Elephas maximus indicus: one gene and its partner. The main gene of each other region encodes a partner of the protein of the gene in region 2 in a complex. Links are inferred from orthologs where the notes say so. Each region holds a gene or a part of one and is shown on either strand. Other genes may lie near its edges.

What was found.
Region 1: the proteins of RIMS2 (region 2) and UNC13A are in contact, whole or in part, in a crystal structure (PDB 2CJS), measured with the Rattus norvegicus proteins. The link is inferred for Elephas maximus indicus from reciprocal best matches to the Homo sapiens genes RIMS2 and UNC13A. Residues at the interface, in XP_063118965.1 of Rattus norvegicus: Asp102, Gly103, Cys104, Ser109, Gln112, Val123, Leu125, Ser127, Asn128, Lys129, Val134, Met135, Trp136; in NP_074052.2 of Rattus norvegicus: Tyr23, Ile36, Trp65, Leu69, Ile70, Trp71, Asp72, Thr73, Met74.

What each region holds. Positions count from the first base shown.
Region 1 is NC_064821.1:37,741,462-37,751,379, reverse strand, and holds the start of UNC13A (protein unc-13 homolog A), read left to right. Parts: upstream 1-5,505; 5' UTR 5,506-5,677; coding exon 5,678-5,723; intron 5,724-9,918. Other genes in the region: MAP1S (microtubule-associated protein 1S), read right to left, coding at 1-850, 1,412-1,552, 2,114-2,196, 3,240-3,341, 5,271-5,391. UniProt on the Homo sapiens protein: Plays a role in vesicle maturation during exocytosis as a target of the diacylglycerol second messenger pathway.
Region 2 is NC_064833.1:38,554,591-38,565,187, forward strand, and holds the start of RIMS2 (regulating synaptic membrane exocytosis protein 2), read right to left. Parts: upstream 4,269-10,597; coding exon 4,093-4,268; intron 1-4,092. UniProt on the Homo sapiens protein: Rab effector involved in exocytosis. May act as scaffold protein. Plays a role in dendrite formation by melanocytes.

The DNA of each region.
Region 1 (9,918 bases), on a different chromosome or scaffold from region 2:
CAGTGGGGCTGGCCGGCTGCCATACTAGCAAGACGCAGGCTGAGGCCAGCGTGCGGTCGGCATTGCGCCCAGCAGCCTCAGAGAGTGGGTGCAGCACGTACATGTCCAGTCGGCCCACACCCATCTTCTGGAAGAGTACAGTGGGCTGGGTGGGCAGTGGCCCACGGCTCAGGGGTAGGGGTGGAATGCCCAGGCGGGCCAGCAGGCCCAGTGCCAACCCTGCCTCGTCCACGCCGCGCACCAGCTGGGCCTCATCGACCACCGAGTCCCCGGCTGCCCCTGTGTTCAGGAACACAACGCCTAGCTCCGGCGAGATGAGGTTGCGCAGCCCCTCATCGCCCCCGCTGCCAGCTGTCGCTGCCTCACGCTCAGCCAGCTTACGCCGCAGCAGGCTGTTGAGGCCTGGCAGACTGTCAGCGCCAGTGTGGGTCACCAGCACTGCATCCACGCGGTCTAGGTGCCGCACCAGCTTCCAGAAGCTCGACTTGGGGCTCGAGCCACCATTGACCAGGATGGTGAAGCCGTTGACAGCAAAGAAGGCGGCATCGCCCAGGCCACCGGGGAAGACGTAGCAGCAGGGCCGGGCAATCTTGAGGAAGCCCATGGCAGCCGGTGGCTCCAGCAGCTCAAAGGGTGAGGGAGGCTCCAGCGACTCAGCCACATACTCCAGGAACTCACGCAGGCCCTCAGAGGCTGGCAGCCGCGCTGGCGGGTTCAGCCGCAGCTGGAGTGCCCCTGGCAGGCTTGGTACATTGGGCGCCAGCTGGGCCCAGTTGCCAAAGGTCGGGCAGGTGATGGTGAGTGTGGGCAGGGTAGACGGCGGGGGTGCCGAGGCCAGGAGCTCCCCGATCTGTGGGGACACCTAGAGTTAGGGGACCTCCAGCTGGCCCCTCACCTGCTCCCCACCCCCTTGGGACCAAACAGCCTCCCCCACCTGGCCTGCCCTCCCCTCCCGCCTTTCTCCCCACTGCTTCTCAGACTTCTCCCCCTCCCCAGCCCAGGGCAGCTATTCTGCTTCCTGGGACATAGCTCCTTTCATGGAGCCCTCCCAGACTCCCCACCTCCCTCCACTGTTATCAACCCCAACTTCCCCAACTTTACAGAGCCCACTGCAACCTGCAATATGGAGACATGGTCTGCCGGTTTATTTTTGCCCTTTTTTCCCCAACCAGACTGAGGACCCTGTCTGCCTCCGTCCCCCTGGGACTCGAAATCTAGAATGCTCCATGAGGTTTCTGGGAAGTTGGCCAAGCTACAACCCAGCTTCCTGCAGCACACTTTAGTGAATGAGAGGACTGAGCCCTGACAACCAGGGAGCGTCCTGCTCCTGCCCAACCCAGACAGGATGAGCCAGGATTTAGAGCGGGGGCGGGCGGTGGTGAGAATGGCAGGAGGGGAGAATACACCTCACCTCCTTGTCCGCCAGGACCTGGAGGAAGTGGCGTGACGAGAAGCCCCCTGTCTGGAGCAACAGCTCTCCTGTCTCCTCCAGGCATGGCCCGGCCAGCACCACCAGCTTGTGAGGGGCAGGATCCAGCAGAAAGTTCCGGAGCTAGAGGAGGGCAGAGTGTGAAGGGTCCTACTCCCTGTAGTGGGGAAGCCCCCAGCCCCAAATCTACATACCATGCCCTTCCCTAGTCCCCACCACACAGCCAGATCAGTGTTTGATCCGGAGCTGGGATGGCAGCCCCTCCAAGAACACAGGGGCTCGTACTGAGTGAAGCAGTCAGCTTGTCGGAGGGTCTCTAATGGGGTGCCCCAGGGCTCTGTCCTGCTGCTCTCTGACGAATAATGAGGAGAAAGATCTAGACTTCACCGAGGCAGGAGCATTAACAAGTCAGTTCAGGCATTGACTAGGGCCATGGAGGGAACCTTCTGGACACCAACATCAGTGTGGCCTGTGTCCCTCCAGACCTCTGTACCTGCTGAGCCTGAGCTGGGAGTGCTCCCCAGTTCCGTCACCACCACCTGCCCCACCATCACCATGGAGGAAGGAAGAGGGGCAGGCTTCCTGGGGAAGGGGTGCTGTCGCTGGTGGTCAAGAAGAGGGTTTCAGGCAGAATGACATTAGGGTCTCAGCCACCTGTCCCCTTGGACACCAAAACCCCCTTACCTCGTCACAAAGCGACTTGTCCGACGGGTTGAGGAGGACCAGGGTGTCCAGGGCATCTCCGTGGTGGTGCAGGCTCCGCTGGCCTGTGAGTGCCGGGCTGTGAGCTGGGGATGGATCCCGCCTCCCCACGTGAGCCCCCCAGCCCGGGTTAGAATGAGGAAGGATGGGGGTGCCCCTGAGCTGCCCCACTCAGCCTTACACTGTGACCACAGTGACCATGAGTCCCCACTGCATGGTGCTCCGTGGCGATCAGAGCTGCTTTCTCTGAACACTCCCAAAAGTCCTGGTAGGAGGGTGCGATTGGCACCTTATCTTACACACTGGGGCACTGAGCCCAAGGAGGACCAAAAAGGGAGGACCAACGAGGGCATGCCAGGTAGGGGCACAGCGCCAGGCAGAAGCAGTGTGAAGGGAGCCAAGGACAGAGGGCCAGGGGTGGACCATGTGGGACAGTGGGGCTGATTCTGAGACTCAAACCCTAGTCCATCCCCCAAGAACCCAGTTCTAGTCATCGTGTACCAGGCCCTGAAGTTTTGGAGGCCAAGGCCCACCAAAGCCAGTCTCTGATCATTGAACCCCTAAGCAAGCACAGATATTGCCCATTCACAGGCAGGGAAACCAAGGCAGAGAGAGGCACATGTGGCTGCCAAAGCCACATGGAGCAAATGGGATTTCCAGACTCTTCACCCTCATGAGGGGTCAGGAAGCCAGCAGGACCTGCTAGGACAATGAGGCGGCAGGCACTTCCTTCCCCTCTCATGGTGGCCAGGGGTGACTCAACTACTGGTCTTCAGGCGGGGGGGTAGGGGGAGGTGCTGGGGTGACACCTGGTATGCTCTGCTCACAGGGTCACCCCTGGATTCCCAGGGGCTGCAATCCCCTCTTCTCCATCTGACCGCTTCTTAGTTTCCCATCTATTGAGTACCTACTGTGTACAAGGCCCTGTAGAGTGCGCACATCGGATCCCATCTCCCAACTTAGCTGCTGCTCCCCTCACAAAACACTCTCCTCGGAGGGCTCTGGGCTCTGCCCCCATGCCGTGGTTTCCTCATGTGTAAGATGAGGGTGAATACACTAGCTCCTGCCTGTGGGCTGCTGAGGACAGGTGAGCTGGCATTGGCCTCACCTTTTACGATGCTGGAGAAGGTGGCCGAGTGCCGAGACACGAAGACCTTGAGCTGCTCATCGAGGCTGCAGATGCTGGGGTCCACATCCCAGGACCGGATGCCTGGTGGGTGGCAGAAGGGAAGTCAGCAGCCCCTGCTCCCAGGGTAGTTCAGTAACTAGCACCCAGGCTGTTGCCATCAAGTTGACACCAACTCCTGGTAACCCCAGGCGTGTCGGAGTAGAACTGTGTTGCAGAGAGCTTTTGAGGCTGTGACCTATCACAAGCAGATTACCAGACCTTTCTTCCAACGTGTCTCTAGATGAGTTCAAACCACCAACCTCTCAGTTAATACTTAAGCACTTAACTGTTTGCAAATGACAGCTGGGTGGCACAAACAGTTAAGCACTCAACTACTAGCCAAAAGGTTAGCAGTTCACACACACACAGGGGCACCTCTGAAGAATGGCCTGGTGATCTGATTCTGAAAGGTCACAGCCTTGAAAACCCCATGGAGTAGTTCTACTCTGCACATACAACAGAACTGACCCGACGGCAAGCAACAAGCACCTGGGGGATGAGAGCTATCCCCAGTTCCTCCCCTTGAGCTGCTCCTGCGCCCTGCGGCAGGCCTGGGGTGGGTCAGAGCCGAGCTTGTGTCTCAGGACCCATGGTGCACCTCAGCAATTTAAGGACAAGACTCAGAACCCCCTGGATGTCATCTTATCACCTCTCTCTCCTCCCTCCCCTCCTGCTCCCAGCCTCCTTCTGCTCCTCCACTGTGCAGGCCTATTCTCAGCTCTGGGCCTTAACACCAGCTGTTCCCACTGCCCTCCCCCTGCCCTTCACGTCTCATCTTTCAACTGCTTCCCCCCTGAGAAGCTCCCACCAGGCCCTGCTGTCCTTCCCCACACTCCTTGCAACAAGCCAAACTAAACCTTGTTCCTCTCCTCATTGGCTTTTGCTACACCATGAGCCAGGACATAGGGACCAGGGTGTGCCCTGTTGCCCCATTTTATAGGTGATGAGACAGAGCCTCAGGACATGTCCAAGGGATGGAGAAGGAAGGCCCTCTGGAATCAGCGTGTGGTGGACGATACCTGCCATCACACTGTGCCAGGCAGATGCAGGTACACCTGTATGACTCACCTCACCTGGGCAGGCCGCCTACCTACGCCCCAGTTAGCATCGTGTGCAGCAACGGAAAGTGGAAAATGGAGCCTGGGGGCCCAGGCCTGGCTTCTCATCCCTGCCTCCCCCAGGTGCCCTTCCTGCCCCCCCCCAAGGATGTCCCCTTCTGTCTGCTACAGGTCAGGATGAAGTGCCTGTTCCCTAAGCCCCTTCCCATCTCCCCAACCCCTCCCCCCAGCAAGTGGCACACAGCCTTGTCTGGTCACCACCCCCTTGCAGGGACAGGACCCCGCCCCTGTGTCAGCCCCAGGAGGGCGGAGCAGCAGCTCCCTGTCCCTAGGGGGTTCCTAACAGGTCCTGGGATCCAAGGTGGGGACTTCTGGCCCCAGGTGCAAACACAGAGACCCGGGCATGGCGTATCTGCACGCGGAGACCCAGGAGCCCCAAGATGGGGTTACATGATGTCGTGGACTCCGCTTGCAACGGATTCCAGGGTTCTGGCAGGGGCGATTCCCGAACTTGGGACTCCACGGGCCACCACGGCCTGGGTTGGGGAAGATGTGCTGAGACCCGGGGGTTTGAGGCAGCCCCGCCCCTCCATCCTCTTACCCCCAGGAGGGGCCCTGCGGGCGGGAAACGGGACCGTTGCCCACGTTGCCCAATCGAGCGGGCCGGGCAGTGTCCCCACCCGTGTCCCCTCCCCTGACCGCGCCGGGTGGGGCGGGGAAGCCGGGCTGGGGCTCTGCTTCCTCTGCTGGGCCTCGGCCGCCCGCCCAGGCCTGCGCCATGGCCGAGCGGGGAAGGCCCCGGAGCCCCGAGATCGCCGCGCCCGCCTGGCGTCCCCCAGCGGCCCCCGGACACCCTTCCTCAGCCCCTGCCGCGCTCGCCCTCGGGGGCCCCCAGCTTCCCCCGGCGCCCGACCTCGCTCCAGCTCCTCCAGCACATAGGACAGCAGCCCTGGGCGCCCGCACTCGCCGCCCACCACGAGCAGCAGCGCGCACGGCGCCTCCGCCGCCCCCTGCTCCGCCGCCGCCGCCGCCATCTTCGCACCGCCCGCCGCCCAGATCGCTGCCGGCCCCGCCCGCGGGCGCCGCGCTGACGTCACCTGCGGCCAATCCGGGCGCGGCGCGCCGGGCTCTGGCCCCGCCCCCAGAAGGGGTCGGGCAGAACCCACTAAAGACCGCGCCTGGAAGCCCCCCTTTGCCGCTTTCACCCCCAGGCCCTGAGAGGAGTTACTCAGCTGGGAATCGGGGCGTTGATGGGGTCGGCTGACTCCTGGGGCTCCCCACCTGGGGCTCTCCAACTGACCATTCATTCATTCAGCCAGCATGGACCGCGCGCCTACTGCGGGCCGGACAGTGTCCCTGCATTCAGGTAACTCCCATTTTACGACCCGGATGCTCCCAGACCCCAGGATGGGGACTTGAGCAGAAAAAAGGAACTCATTTTGGAGGTAGGGCGTTGAGGGATGCGTAGGGGTTTGCCAGGTGTGGGTGGTGGGGCAAGAGCATGCCAGGCAGAAGTTACAGCACAGAGAAGTTTTAGAGATAGGAAAGTACATGTGGTTTGGGACACATTCAGAGCACACTAGGTCTGCGCGGGACTGCACTTTTTCTGATCGTACTGTGCGCCAGGCATTTTATTCCATTGTTGTTGTTAGGTGCCGTCAGGAGTCAGTTCCGACCCATAGCGACCCTATGCACAACAGAACGAAACACTGCCCGGTCCTGAGCCATCCTTACAATCGTTGTTATGCTTGAGCTCATTGTTGCAGACACTGTGTCAATCCACCTTGTTAAGGGTCTTTCTCTTTTCCGCTGACCCTGTACTTTGCCAACCATGATGTCCTTCTCCAGGGACTGATCCCTCCTGACAACATGTCCAACGTATGTAAGACACAGTCTCGCCATCCTTGCTTCTAACGAGCATTCTGGTTGTACTTCTTCCAAGACAGATTTGTTCTTTCTTTTGGCAGTCCGTGGTATATTCAATATTCTTCCAATGCCACAATTCAAAGGCGTCGATTCTGCTTAGGTCTTCCTTATGTGTTGTCCAGCTTTCACATGCATATGATGCAATTGAAAATACCATGGCTTGGGTCAGGCCCAAGTTAGTCTTCAAGGTGACATCTTTGCTCTTCAACACTTTGAAGAGGTTCTTTGCAGCAGATTTGCCCAATGCAACGAGTCTTTTGATTTCTTGACTCCTGCTTCCATGGCTGTTGATTGTGGATCCAAGTAAAATGAAATCCTTGACAACTTCAGTCTTTTCTTCATTTATCATGATGTTGCTCATTGGTCCAGTTGTGAGGATTTTTGTTTTCTTTATGTTGAGATGTAATCCATACTGAAGGCTGCAGTCTTTGATCTTCATTAGTAAGTGCTTCAAGTCCTTTTCACTTTCAGGAAGCAAGGTTGTGTCATCTGCATAACCCAGGTTGTTAATGAGTCTTCCTCCAATCCTGATGCCCTGTTCTTCTTCATATAGTCCAGCTTCTTGTATTATTTGCTCAGCATACAGATTGAATAGGTATGGTGAAAGAATACAACCCTGACACACACCTTTCCTGACTTTAAACCAATCAGTATCCCCTTGTTCTGTCGGAACAACTCCCTCTTGATCTATGTAAAGGTTCCTCATGAGCACAATGAAGTGTTCTGGAATTCCCATTCTTCACAGTGTTATCCATAGTTTGTTATGATCCACACAGTCAAATGCCTTTGCATAGTCAATAAAACACAGGTAAACATCCTTCTGGTATTCTCTGCTTTCAGCCAGGATCCATCTGACAGCAATGATATCCCTGGTTCCACGTCCTCTTCTGAAACTGGCCTGAATTTCTGGCAGTTCCCTGTCAATATACTGCTGCAGCCATGTTTGGAATGATCTTCGTTAGCCGATTTCAGTTTGTGCACAAACCTGAACTGAGGTTTGGAGTGATAAAGTCACCAGGCCCTTAAGTGGCAGAGCCCAGATTTGAACCCAGCTCTGTCTGACTCCAGATCCAGCCCGTGGTAGTGACTGACTGTCTGACTCACGTGAGCATCCCTCCGCTTCCCAATCTCATTAAACCTTTCACTGATGTCTACTACTCGAAAAATCATATTGTGTCAAACTTGGACAGTCATCCATGTCCAGGAAAGTCTGGGCTGTCTCTCTTGGGAGTGAGCGCTCTGTCTCCACACATATCCAAAGCAAATCAGGGCAGAGATGGGAAATGTCTGGGAAGTGGAATCAGCCTCCAGCTGCTCTGCTTATCTGACTTGTTCAGCCCAACTTCCTCCCTGGCCAGTGTTTAATGGCCCCTGGCCAGGAGTCCACTTCCTCTCTCTCCTTGGCCCCCCGCATCCTTCCGCTATCCCTGTCACTCCCCCTTGGCTCCCTTGCCTATGTCCAGGCAGCCTGTGATTTTCTCTGTTAGGGCTCTGAGAAATAACGGGGCAGACGTGTCTGTGACGGGGCTGGAAGCTCGTTGGGGGCCAGATCACCAGGCTGAAGCCTCCTTAGGGCCCTGCCTTGGTGCAGGACAAGGCTAGCCATTTGGGAAGATCACAATAAAGGCATATGGAATGAGATCAAAAACCCATTTGTCCATCATTTATTCATTTACTCATGATTCCTTCTTGTATTTTTTTACTGGGTGTCTTAGTTCTCTAGTACTGTTTTAACAGAAATACCACAAGTGGGTGCCTTTTACAAACAGTAATCTATTTTTTCACAATTCAGGAAGCTAGAAGTCCAAATTCGGGGCACCAGCTGTAGGGGAAGCCTCTCTTTCTGTAGGCTCTGGGGGAAGATGTTTTTCAATTTTCGTAGACCCAGCATTCCTTGAATCGTTGGTGATAGTCACAGGTCATATATCTTCACCTTCATTTGTGCTTACTTCTCTGTTCCTGGAGCCCTGGTGGTACAGTGGATAAGCGTTTGGCTGCTAACCAAAAGGCTGGCAGTTCAAATCCACCAGCCGCTCCTTGGAAACCCTATGGAGCAGTTCTACTCTGTCCTATGGGTCGCTATGAGTTGGAATTGACTTAACAGCAATAAGTTTTTTCTTTGTTCCTACTCTGCTCTTTTTATATCTCAAAAGTGACTAGGTCTAAGACACACCCTACACAGATAGGGCTTCATTAACAAAACAAAGGAAATCCTATTCCCAAAGGGGATCACATCCACAGGTATAGGAGTTAGGATTCCAACACATATTGGAGAGACACAATTCAATCCACAACATTGAGTCAGAATTTGAGCCCGGGACCTTTTAACTGGAATCCATGTTCTTCCCTCTGCTCAAGGCTGTGAGCTATGATTTTTGGTATTAATTCTGGTCAGTCATAAACGGGCCTGAGTCACCAAGATGTGTCCGCAGCAGGGATCTAACTTGGTGCCTTTGGGGGCTGGTGCGGTGAGTGTTCAGGAGCCTTGGGGTCTTCCTGTCTCAGAGCATCCCTCAGCTGGGGGGTCCTGGTGTGGAAATTGTGGGGGGAATCTCTCCAGAAATGGACAAGCATCTGGGGACTGTTCACAAAATCACAAGCATCGAACTCAGGTTCCTGGCCAGCTCTGGGCCATTTCCAGGTCATCCAGCCCCAGAGCAGTCAGGCACTGGCGTTTGCTGGGAAAACGGAGCCCTGGGCCCTCAGAACTGCCAGACACTCTCATCTTCTTCCCCTGTGTATTCCTTTTCTCTGGCTGCTGTTACTAATTACACACACTGGGCAGCTTAAGCTGTCTCTGGGTGGCGCACACGGTTAAGTGGTTAAGCACTCAACTACTAGCTGAAAGGTTGGAGGTTCAAACCCACCCACAGGCACCTTGGAAGAAAAGCCTGGCAATCTGCTCCTGAAAGGTCACAGCCTTGAAAGCCCTTCTTTGCACACATGGGGTACTCATGAGTTGGAATCAAATCAACGGCAACTGGTTTGTTTCCTGGGGGGAGGTGAGGGAGGTGTGCTTAAGACAACAGGAATCTATTGATAGTCAGTTCTGGAGGCCAGAAGTCCGAATTCAGAATGTCGGTAGGTCCTTCTCCCTCCAGAGCCTCTAGGGAGGGTCCTCCCTTACCTCTTCCAGCTTCTGGTGGCTCCAAGTGTTCCTGGGCTTGTGGCTGCATCACTCCAACGTCTACTCCCATCTTCGCATAGCCATCTTCCTTGTGTGTGTCTGTCTCTCTGTGTCTACATCTCTTTCTTTTAATAAGAACACCAGTCATTGGATTTAGGGTCCATCCTAGTCTAGTACTTCTTTCAGTACTAGAAGTGCAGCCAGAATGCTCTTTGGGAGCGAGAATGGCAAGACTTCATCTTACATACTTTGGACATGTTATCAAGAAGGACCAAGCCCTGGAGAAGGACATCATCTTTGGTAAAGCAGAGGGTCAGCAAAAAAGAGGAAGACCCTCAACGAGATGGATTGACACAGTGGCTGCAACAATGGACTCAAACATAGCAATGATTGTAAGGATGGTAGAGGACCAGGCAGTGTTTTGTTCTGTTATACACGGGGTTGCTATGAGTTGGAACTGACTTGAGGGCTCCTAACAACAACAGCTAATCTAGTATGATCTCAACTT
Region 2 (10,597 bases):
CAGTCTTGAAAAACAAAGCATAAAAACATTAATACCATCTAAAATACATCAATTGGTCTCAACCCACCTGGAGCAAAGGAAAATGAAGAACACCAAGGTCACACAACAACTAAGAACCCAAGAGACAAAAAGGGCCACATGAACCAGAGTCCTACATCATCCTGAGACCAGAAGAACTAGTTGGTGCCCGGCCACAATCGATGACTGCCCTGTCAGGGAGCACAACAGAGAACTCCTGAGGGAGCAGGAGATCAGTGGGAGGCAGACCCCAAATTCTCATAAAAAGACCATACTTAATGGTCTGACTGCGACTAGAGGAATCCCGGCGGCAATGCTCCCCAGACCTTCTGTTGGCACAGGACAGGAACCATCCCCGAAGACAACTCATCAGACATGAAAGGGACTGGTCAGCGGCGGGGAGAGAGATGCTGATGAAGAGTGAGCTAATTAAATCAGGTGGACACTGGAGAGTGTGTTGGCAACTCTTGACTGGAGGGGGGATGCGAAGATAGAGAGAGAGGGAAGATGGCAAAATTGGCACGAAACGAGAGACTGAAAGGGCTGACTCAATAGGGGGAGAGCAAGTGGGAGAAGGGAGTAAGATGTATGTAAACTTACATGTGACAGACTGATTGGATTTGTAAATGTTCACTTGAAGCTTAATAAAAGTTAATTAAAAAAAAACATTAATAAGTAAAAGGACATTACAGATTTCATTGATATTGAGTTATTCAAACTAAAAGTGCTACAGGAATTCATGCAAGAAAAAAAGGAATTATTGAACAGAGATCTACTGAGATGTAAAAATGCTTCCAAAATTACAATATTTCATTCTATGTAAGACAGAATTATTTGATGGTGATAGCAGACTTTCTAAAGTATGTGGATATTCAGCTGGGCTTTGAAAAAACTGCTAATAATTAAGTATAAAAAAAAACAAAAAACCCACTACCACTGAGTGGATTCCAACTCATAGCGACCCTATAGGACAGAGTAGAACTACCCCATAGGGTTTCCAAGGAGCGCCTGGTGGATTCGAACCGCCGACCTATTGGTTAGCAACTGTAGCTCATAACCACTACGCCACCAGTGTTTCCGATAATTAAGTATAAACAGTTCTTAATTATTCAAGCTCCAAAGGGGAGAGATTACTGTAGTGGTCTCAATCTGTTTGATCTCTCACATCTCACATTAAAAATGTTTCATTACCACAATAAAAAAAAAGTTTCTGGCATGAAACTCTTAATATATGCATATTTACGTGTAAATTATATGCATGTGAATACTGTGAATCCATACATTAAATAATATTAAAGCCTAGTTTCTTTCTTTTTTCCAATAAAAGTTAAAATGCAAATATAAATTCTAATATTTTCTTTCTGACTCCAATATATCATCTTGTGATGCCCTTGAGTTTGCATACTCCACTTTGCATGAATACTGGATATGAATACTGAAAACTCACAGATCATGCAAAAATACTTTTTATTCAATAGTTTCAATCTCTTCAAACATTAAACGTATTTTTTTAACACAGTTAAGAGGCAGTAGACATGAATTTGAATCTCAGTTTATTTTTCTCTGCCCATGACCTTCTCTAAGAATCAATGTTAACATGCAACACATTATTTAATACCCAATATTAATAACATATTATTTGCTGTTAGTAAACTTTCAAATTCTTCAAAACTATGTCCGTATTGTAATCTATTATAAAATCTGTATTCCTTTCCTTGTTTCCCTTGCCTACTCTTATTTTCCTACAAAAGTCAAATGAATTTCAGAGAATGTTTAAAATTGGAATATGAAATATATATATTTTAACTTCTTGTTAAAATTAATAAAAAATAATTCTGAAATTGTGTTGTCCAATTTGACATAAGACCCCTGCCAAAACTAAGTTAGGCAGAAAGGCAAATATTCACTTAAAATAAATCTGAAAAGGTTTGTCATCAATGTAATGTCATAGATTGTAAGAATGTATGTTTAGGAAATGTTTGTTTCTACCTAAACTATGTAAATATGAATGTATAAACATCATGATGTGTATCTGCACAGTATGCAGGTTTACATACAAATACAACATATATACATGTAGCTAGCTGAAAAACTCTTCCACATTTTCCTACTAAAATATACTGTGCATTTTGAGTAATTCATAATTCAATACTCAAAAGTTCATTTAAATATCCATATACTAGAACAGTTGAGGAAAAATATCTATTGCCAATAAAATGTGGGGTACTTTGGAAAGTAGAACAATAAATAGATTTAGAATTAAAGTAGCCAATAAATACTATGATTTTGCATACTATAAAGAAATAACAGCACATCTTACATTTAAATATGTGGATCAAAGAAACACAACTATATTTTTTAGAGCATCATTTTGGCAACACTGATTTGTAGCAATTATAGTAAAAATGTAAATCCAAATATCTAAACATCAAGCTGTAAGTTTCATATCAAAAGCTTGGCATACATAACAAAGTTAAGCAAAGTTAGGAGTGTGCTCAAAAAGCTTTCAGAAATAATGATTTATTCTTCTCTTACTTCCAATGAACTACTTAAATTCCTTAATTTTTTTCATATCCCAAACAGGCATTCAATTCCAGAAATTATCTTAAAGAACTAAGTTTTCTTAACTTCAGTTAATCGGCCAGGAATACATTTGCTTTCTTAGCCCTTCAAGTTTTTGTCAGAAATACTATTTTTCTCTAAGATCTATATATATTTGGTATGTTTATTGTCATAAATTATTTTGAGTAGTAATTTTCATTAAAATATGAAATATATATTCAGAAGAGAGAATATACATATAAGAAGAAAGAACTGCTTCTCTGTAAGTGTATTAAAGAATACTGAATGCAAGAACCCGTTCTTAAAATTTAAGTGATTAGAGGTCAGTGTGTTAGTTCCTTCATATAAAGACCCTTCGCTTTCAATTGTGTGTTTCTGTGAAGAATATGGGAAACGTATATTTCAAAACACTGTCTCAGCTTTGCAAAAAAAAAAAAAAAAAAAAAACTGTCCCAGCTTTGGAATGTAAACTGTATAAATTAATCTCTTGGGATAATTCATTTAAATTTTTAAAAATTGAGTTGAATAAAACACAAAGAGGAACATATCTCCTACACAATCTCTTTCACGTAGTAACTGAGAAATCAAATAGGCATAAAATATTTAAAGCAAACTCGTAGAAACAAATCTCACTACACTAACAAGGAAAGCAATCTCAAAAGCCACAGGCAACCCTGTCTGGACAGTTCCTGGTGCTGAAGTTACACAGCCGCGAAACCCAAGCCTGCGAGCTACTTTCAGTCCTCTCAGCCTCCGCCAAATCCCGGCCGGCTAGACTGTGAGCACGAACAGTAAAACTTCACAAGGTAGGAAGCATCCCAAACTGCAGCAATGGTAGGAACTGGAGTCTCTTCAGGATTAAACAGATTTACTAGTTGCAAACAGGAAGAGCAGCAGAGTGCAGGGTGTCAGAACCCGCCGAGGGGGAGGGGCTGGAAGATGGCGACGGCCGCACACCCACCCGAGACGCGACTGGGCTTAAGCCCCTCGCCCGCCGCGAAGGGGGGCGTCTCTGCTATTCTCCGCGTTGGGGGCAGAACCACTGTGAGGCGGCGCGGGACGAGCGGCCCCGGCGGCGCCCGCACCCCCCGGCTGGCGCACCTTCGCCGGGTCCGGCCTGGGAGCACCTGTGCACCGCCATATTGGATTCCTTGCCCCAGCCCCTGCCTCCGCGCGGGGGCGGCGAGTAAGGGAGAAGGGACGCGCGGAGCCTGGGCTCAGCCCCAGCCCCGCCGGGGCCTCGGAGCCGAACCCGCCCGCGGGGAGAGCCGGAAGGGCGCCGGGGAACATTCGCCACCCTCACCTCAGCCGGCCTCGGCGCCCTCCCTCCCCGACACGCACCCCCGCGCTCGACACCCAGAAAGCAGCCCCGGCGCCGGCCTCAGCCCTCTTGGCCCCAGCGCCGCCGGCGGGTGGGGAGGGCGGCGATCCGGGGCGCGCCGGCGGCCGCGGGGCAGCGGCCGAGGGGTGGAGGGCAAGGGGCAAGGCGGGAAGATGGAGCCGGGTCCTTACTTGAGCACGGACTGCTCCTTCTCCTCTTCTTTCTTCTGCCGATCCATGACGGCCAGGATGATTTTCCTCTCCTCCTCCGTGAGGTGGCTGAGGTCGGGCATCTCCGGCTGCAGAGGCGGCTGAGAGGCCGCCGGGGTAGGAGCCGGGCGGCCCCGGAGCCCGGCAGGAGCCGACATGTTTGGTGGAGCCGAACCACCCTAGGGAAACAGGGAGGCAACTCCACTGGCTGGAGCGGCGGCAGCACCGGAGCGGGCGGCTGGGGCAGCCTCCGGCGCCGGGACAAATACATACAAATCAATGGCCTTCAATCTGAGGCGACAGCCCCCCTCCGTCAAGACAGAAAGAGCAGGGGGAGGGGAAGACGCCTGCGGGGGGAGGGGGCTGGGGCGTGCGCTCCGGGAAATGTTTCTTCTTCCCGCGGGCGAAGGGCTGGCAAGTGAGCTGCACGGAATCGAGGAGCAGGAGGCCGGGCCCGGACGCGAAGTGCGCGAGGCGGCGGGGGAGGGCGGTGGAGTAAGGTGGTGGGAACGGCTGAGGGTGGGGTGACTGGAGGGAGCGGTGGGAGGGCGGCGCGCCGGTCGGGCCAGAGTGTGTCCTGCCGCTGCGGGGGGGCGCACCCGCCGCCTGGGGGGAGGGGTGACGGCGAACCAGCCCCCGAGGGGAGTCCCAGGAACCGGCTCCGGACGCCGAAGGCTGCGTCCCACGGGCCCGAGGGGCGCCGAGGCGGGAGCCCGGGGGGAGTGAGGAGGCAGGGATGAATTTCCCGGAGAAGCTGCTCCGGCGTCCCGCCGGTTGGCGCGTCACAGGGCTCCCCGGCGTCGCGGAGACCCGACCCCTTGAGAAGCGAAGGGGAGAAGGCCGCGGGGCCGGAGACTGCGGGCGGAGACCCCCGGGCTAGAGAGGGGAAGCGAAAGCGGAGGAGGAGGAATGATAGGGGCTATAGGCGGAGAGTCCGAGAGTCAGGGCCGCTTGGCTGCGGCGCCCGCCCGGATCCGAGCGAGCTCCGACGCGTAGCAGGGCCAGGTGCCGACCCCTCCTCATCACGCGCCCGCCGGGGGTCTCAGCCGCCGCCGCCGCCGCCCCTTGGGTCCTTGGAGTCGGCGCGGAAGGCCAGCACCCTGCGCCGCCGCCGCCGCTCGGTGCCGCCGCCCGCGCCTCCTCCGCCCCTTCGCCTCCGGGGCTCCTCCCGCGCGGGCCGCGTCACCTCCCCAGGCCCGGGCACGGCGGGCGGCGGCCACCCCCTCCCGAACGCGACCTGTGGGCTGGTGCTGGGCGGAGAGAGGCGGAGGGGAAGAGTCTGAGTGGGCTCCCGAGTTCGGAGCCCGGGATGTGGAGAATGTGAACGTGTGGAGGGCGCACGAGGAGTCGTGAGTGGGAGGGAAGAGTGTGGGGGAGAAGGCAGGTACTCCTGGGGTGTCAGGTTCGGAGGTGAAAGAGTGTGAGCTGGGGACGGGGAGGCACCCGAGGTGTCGGAGGGTGAGGGGAGAGTGTGAAGACGTGGGGCGCCCAAGGTTTTGGGGCTGGGGTCCTGGAAGGAGGGAGGGCCTGATCGAGTTAGATGGGGGCGCCCGGGGTGTCAGGGATGGGAGCGCCAGGAACTGGGAAGAGCGTGAGGGGGTAACCTGAGGGGAGGGAGTGTGTGAACAAGTGGTTAGCAGAGGTGCTGTTGCGGCTCCGGGCAGGGTGGGCGGATGATGGGTGAGGAAGTTCTGGAAAACAGGGCTAGAGGGATCAGAATACGCGGAGAGGTTGTAGGAGAGCGTGGAGAAGTGGGGAGGTGAGATTGGAGGTGTCAAGGTCTGTCTAGCAGGAGTGTGAGGATGAGGACGCCACGGTGGGTGGGGGTGGGCTATGAAGGAAAAAGGGCTAAGGACCACCCGGGCGAGGGTGAGCCAGCGCTTGGGCCAAGGGCACTCAACCTAGTCTAAAGAAGAAGTAGAGAAGCAGGGAGATCAGGTTAGAGTCGGAGTCTGATTTTTTGAAGCACGGAGATGGGCTGGGTGAAAAGGGGACGGAAAAAGAAAAAAAACGTTGCTATTGAGCCGATTCCGACTCGTAGCAACCCTGTCGGACAAATTAGAACTGCCCCATAGGGTTTCCAAGGAGCAGCTGGTGGATTCGAACTGCTGACGTTTTTGGTTAGCAGCCGATCGCTTAACCACTGCGCCACAAGGGCTCCGAGCATAGATGAAAAACCAGCCCTGGAACTGCTGTGACCGCCACCGCCTCTGCTCTCCGCAGGGCTGAGCGCCACCCTGACAACCCTCCCTGTGGTGGCGGGGCAGCGGTGAGATGAGGCCAGGCGAGGTAGGGGTAAGTCACCAGGGACCACCCCCTCTTCTGGGCGCTTGCTGCCAGCCCTGGGAATAGCGGCATGTCGGGTGTGTGTGTGTGTATGTGTGTACTTGTGCGTATGTACATATGTGTATACACACCGCTACCCCACCTCCCACATGCACAGTGTTCAGTGCCAGGCCAGATTATGGTATGAAGAGTAGTATAAAACCTCTGGGGTTTGTATCGTATTTACTTTCTTGGTGTGTAGTAAGCTCTTTCTCTCCTCCTTCTGTCCCAAGGTACTATCTGACTAGCTCTCAATTTAAGAGAGCTGGGGGACAGACAAAGCAGCTGTAGAAGTCTCTTGTCATTTCTAAGCTTAAATTTCTATTTTCGTTTTCTCCTACACCTTGTAATTGGGAAGAGGAAGGAGGGGAAAGTTTACTTAAGTGCAATTTTTAGTATTTATTTTTATTAGTCACCTGCTTCAAACCAAATTCTCATACTCCAAATAGCTCGGTTTTCATCTCTTTGGAGCTGAGCAAACCAGATGAGGTCATACAAATTCCAATTTATTTAATTTTGTTTTAGAGTTAGAGAATTTTTATAAATCTCTTATACAACCTTGTCATGCTGTGGGAAATTGAGGACCAAGATCAGCCAGTAGTAAATGGCAAAGCTAGGAACTAGAACCTGGATACTTTTACTCCAAGTTGAAACCATGGTGGTTTTCAACCCTGGCTACACATTAAAATTACATGGGTATTTTTTAAAATACCATCTGGGACCAACCCTGGATCAAATGAATAAATCTCTGGGGTTCGGACCCTGCCAGTAGGTATATTTTGAAAGCTCCACAAGTGACAAATGTATAGCAAAGGTTAAGAACTGCACTGTGCATTGCCACACACAGAAGTTGAGAAAAATCACAACTGAGAAGAGGAAAACAAACAAAAAGAACACTTTTAGAGAGAAGTAAATTTTTCTACCAAAATTGAAATGTATTATCCAATGCTATCCACAATTTTCTCTCACATGGAATGAGAGGTACCAGCAAATACACATATCTATGACTTTATCCTTGGAAACCCTAAGTGTCACTAAAATACGCTAAGTGCTCCTTTAGAAGAGAGAACAGAGCTAGAAATAATCAAAAGGATGGGTGGAACACTCTACCTCATTCAACTATTTCTGGGCCAGATTTGAAAAAGTAACACCACCCCCCACCCTCAGCCAACTATCAACCCAAGCAGAGCCAGAATCCGGAATACACACATATCAAACTGTTATAATAGCTTAGTTATTTTGAGTACATAAAATGTGAACTTAAAAGTGATTGTCCAAGACTGTGTTGGCATCTCCTGTCTGGAGGGGAGATAGGAGGGTAGAGAGGGTTAGAAACTGGCAAAATTGTCATGAAAGGAGAGACTGGAAGGAGGGAGCGGGCGGACTCATTAGGGGGTGAGTAAGTGGGAGTATGAAGTAAGGTGTATATAAGCTTATATGTGACAGACTGACTTGATTTGTAAACTTTCACTTAAAGCACAATAAAAATTATTAAAAAAAAAAAAAGTAATTGTCCGTATTGGATGATTTGGGCTTCCTTTACAGTAGTGGGTCACCTCCTGGGCCCTGCACCATTTTTCTGCCAGTGACATAGCATGCTGGGTGCTTGCAGTTGTGTCTCCCTGCATCCCCACTGCCTCTCACCTGCCTGGACACAGTGCCAGCATATGAAATACAATACGCATGAGCTGGAATCATTGGGACAGCAGACCTCTTACAGACAGCAGCAGAAGTGAATGGGCTTACTGTGTTTCTTCTTAACAGCCTTTCTGCAACTAGATGTGTTTTTCCTATTGAAGGGAATCCTTAGAAGTTAAAGTGTCTTAAAATCATCATCCACCTTGATCCACACTTTTTCGAAGTAAAACCTTAGAAGTTAAAGTGTCTTAAAATCATCCACCTTGATCCACACCTTTTCGAAGTAAAAATTTGTCACAGTATTTATATATCATATAGATGAAATCTATATCACATAGCCCATTACTATTGAGTCTATTCCAACTCATAGAGTGACCCTATAGGACAGATTAGAACCAACTCATAGGGTTTCCAAAGTTGTGATCTTTATGGAAACAGACCACCACATCTCTTTCCCTTGGAGCAGCTGGTGGGTTTGAACCGCCAACCTTTTGATTAGCAGCTGAGCACTTTACTACTGTGCCACCAGGGCTCCTTATGTATCACACAGAATTTTTAAGAGGGCTATTTTTCAAAGCAGCCACCCAATTTAGCATAAGATTCCTATGCTGAAAACTAAAGAAAATAAAATACCTTCAAAAGACGTCTATCTATGACATGACTCTTAGAGGTATTTTCTTTGTTCTGGTTTACTGTTTTAACATGTTTGTCACATATCACTGTAGTCTGTATGGCATTATATTTCACGCGGGCACGTCCCTCAAGTGTATGAACACATCTGAAGTTCAGCTAAAACTGTAATATTCTTGCTTAATTTTAGAAGTAACTTACCATCTTGGTCACTGAGTTCTCTTTAAAGGTCACAAACTAATCCCAAAATGCAAGTCCTTTCTGACTTCTTCTAGGCCAATGAAGCCTGTGGGTCTATATGTTCATTTTTACATATGAATAAGGGCTATTTACTTGTAATCTACTAAATAAGTTACTAGGAGATATGCCTAAACTAAAGTAATAAACTACAATTATCACTAGAATTTACTGAAGACTCATTCAGTACTCTGCTAAGAAATCTGGCTGTCAGTGCTTGGAATTGTGGCAACTCTCGTACTACACATACTTGGATGGTTGGCATTTCTACAGTTTCTAACAGGTTTCCCTGCTTCTACCCTTGTGGCTCTGAGTCTTTTCTCAACACAGCAAAAAGAGTAATCTTCATAAACGTTACATTATATCACTCCACTGGTCAAAACCCTGCAGTGGTTCCCCATTTTACTCAGAATAAGCACTAAACTCCTAAAGTAGCTTACAGGTCCCACATGATCTCTCTGACTCCTCTCCTACTACTTCCTTTTAGGCTTTCCTCTAGCTGTTCTGTCTGCCTGGAACGCACTTCACCAAGAAATTCACTTGGTTAACTCCCTCATCTTCAAATCTTTGTTCAGTTGTCCATTCTATTTAATACTCCAACCTGCCATCCCCTTCCCTGATCACTCCAATTTCATTTACTTTACCCTACTTTTTCTTTTTTTCATAACACTTACTCTCTCTGACGACTGTATTTTCACTCCAAGTTGATCATTAATCATCAACTTCCCTTAACTAAAATATAAGCACAGGACAGAGCAGGAATTTTACTAATGTATCCCAGGCAGCTAGAACAGTGTGTGGTGTTCCAATAAATTTTTGTTGAATGAAATTCTGGTTAGCAGCTTTGTCATTGTTAGCTTAAGCTGAGCAGGGGAAAGGGAAATGGTGTCCTCGAAAGAGAAAAATGGACACAAAGAAGTCAAGGTATACAGTTCCTTTAGGATTCAGCTCCTGCCTATCTCTCTAGCATCATCTCCAACACTACCTGCATGTACACCCCTCTCTTCTGCCATAATAGTCTACTTGCAATTTACTGAATATAAAGCTTCTCATTTCTGTGACTTTCTTTTCCTTCAGCTTGGATCTTTTTTTCTACTCCCTCTTCTATAACCTTCTCCTCAGTCTGATTAGCATCTTTGTCTTCTGCACCATATGCACATCCCTTCCTTTCTACTCCTTCCGCCTGTATTGCCCAGGCTCTCTCAGCAAACCTTACTCATAGATAGCACTTGCCATTCTGTGTTAGATTCATTTATTTCCTTGTCTGTTTTCCCAACAGGAATATGGATTCTTTAGCAGCAAGCAATGTGCCTTTCACTCCAGTTTCCCCAGGACCTAGCAGAGTGGCTCAGACATGATAGCAGCTCAATAAATATTTTCTGAACAATTAAATGAGCAGACACAAAATAATGAGAAAAGTCACTGTTATTGGAGTATAAAGGGAAGACTGGTATTGGAGTATAAAAGGAGGAAGGCAGAGAGTTGTAACAAAAGAAAAAGCTGGAAAAATAGATTGTAGCAAGATTATGCTACAACATTATATGCTATGCTGAATAATTTCAATTTATAGTCATCAGACAGGCACTGGAGGTCTTTTAGCCAGAAAGTGAACGTGATCAGCTTTGATTTCCAAGAAGATATCCTGCCTTCATTTCCT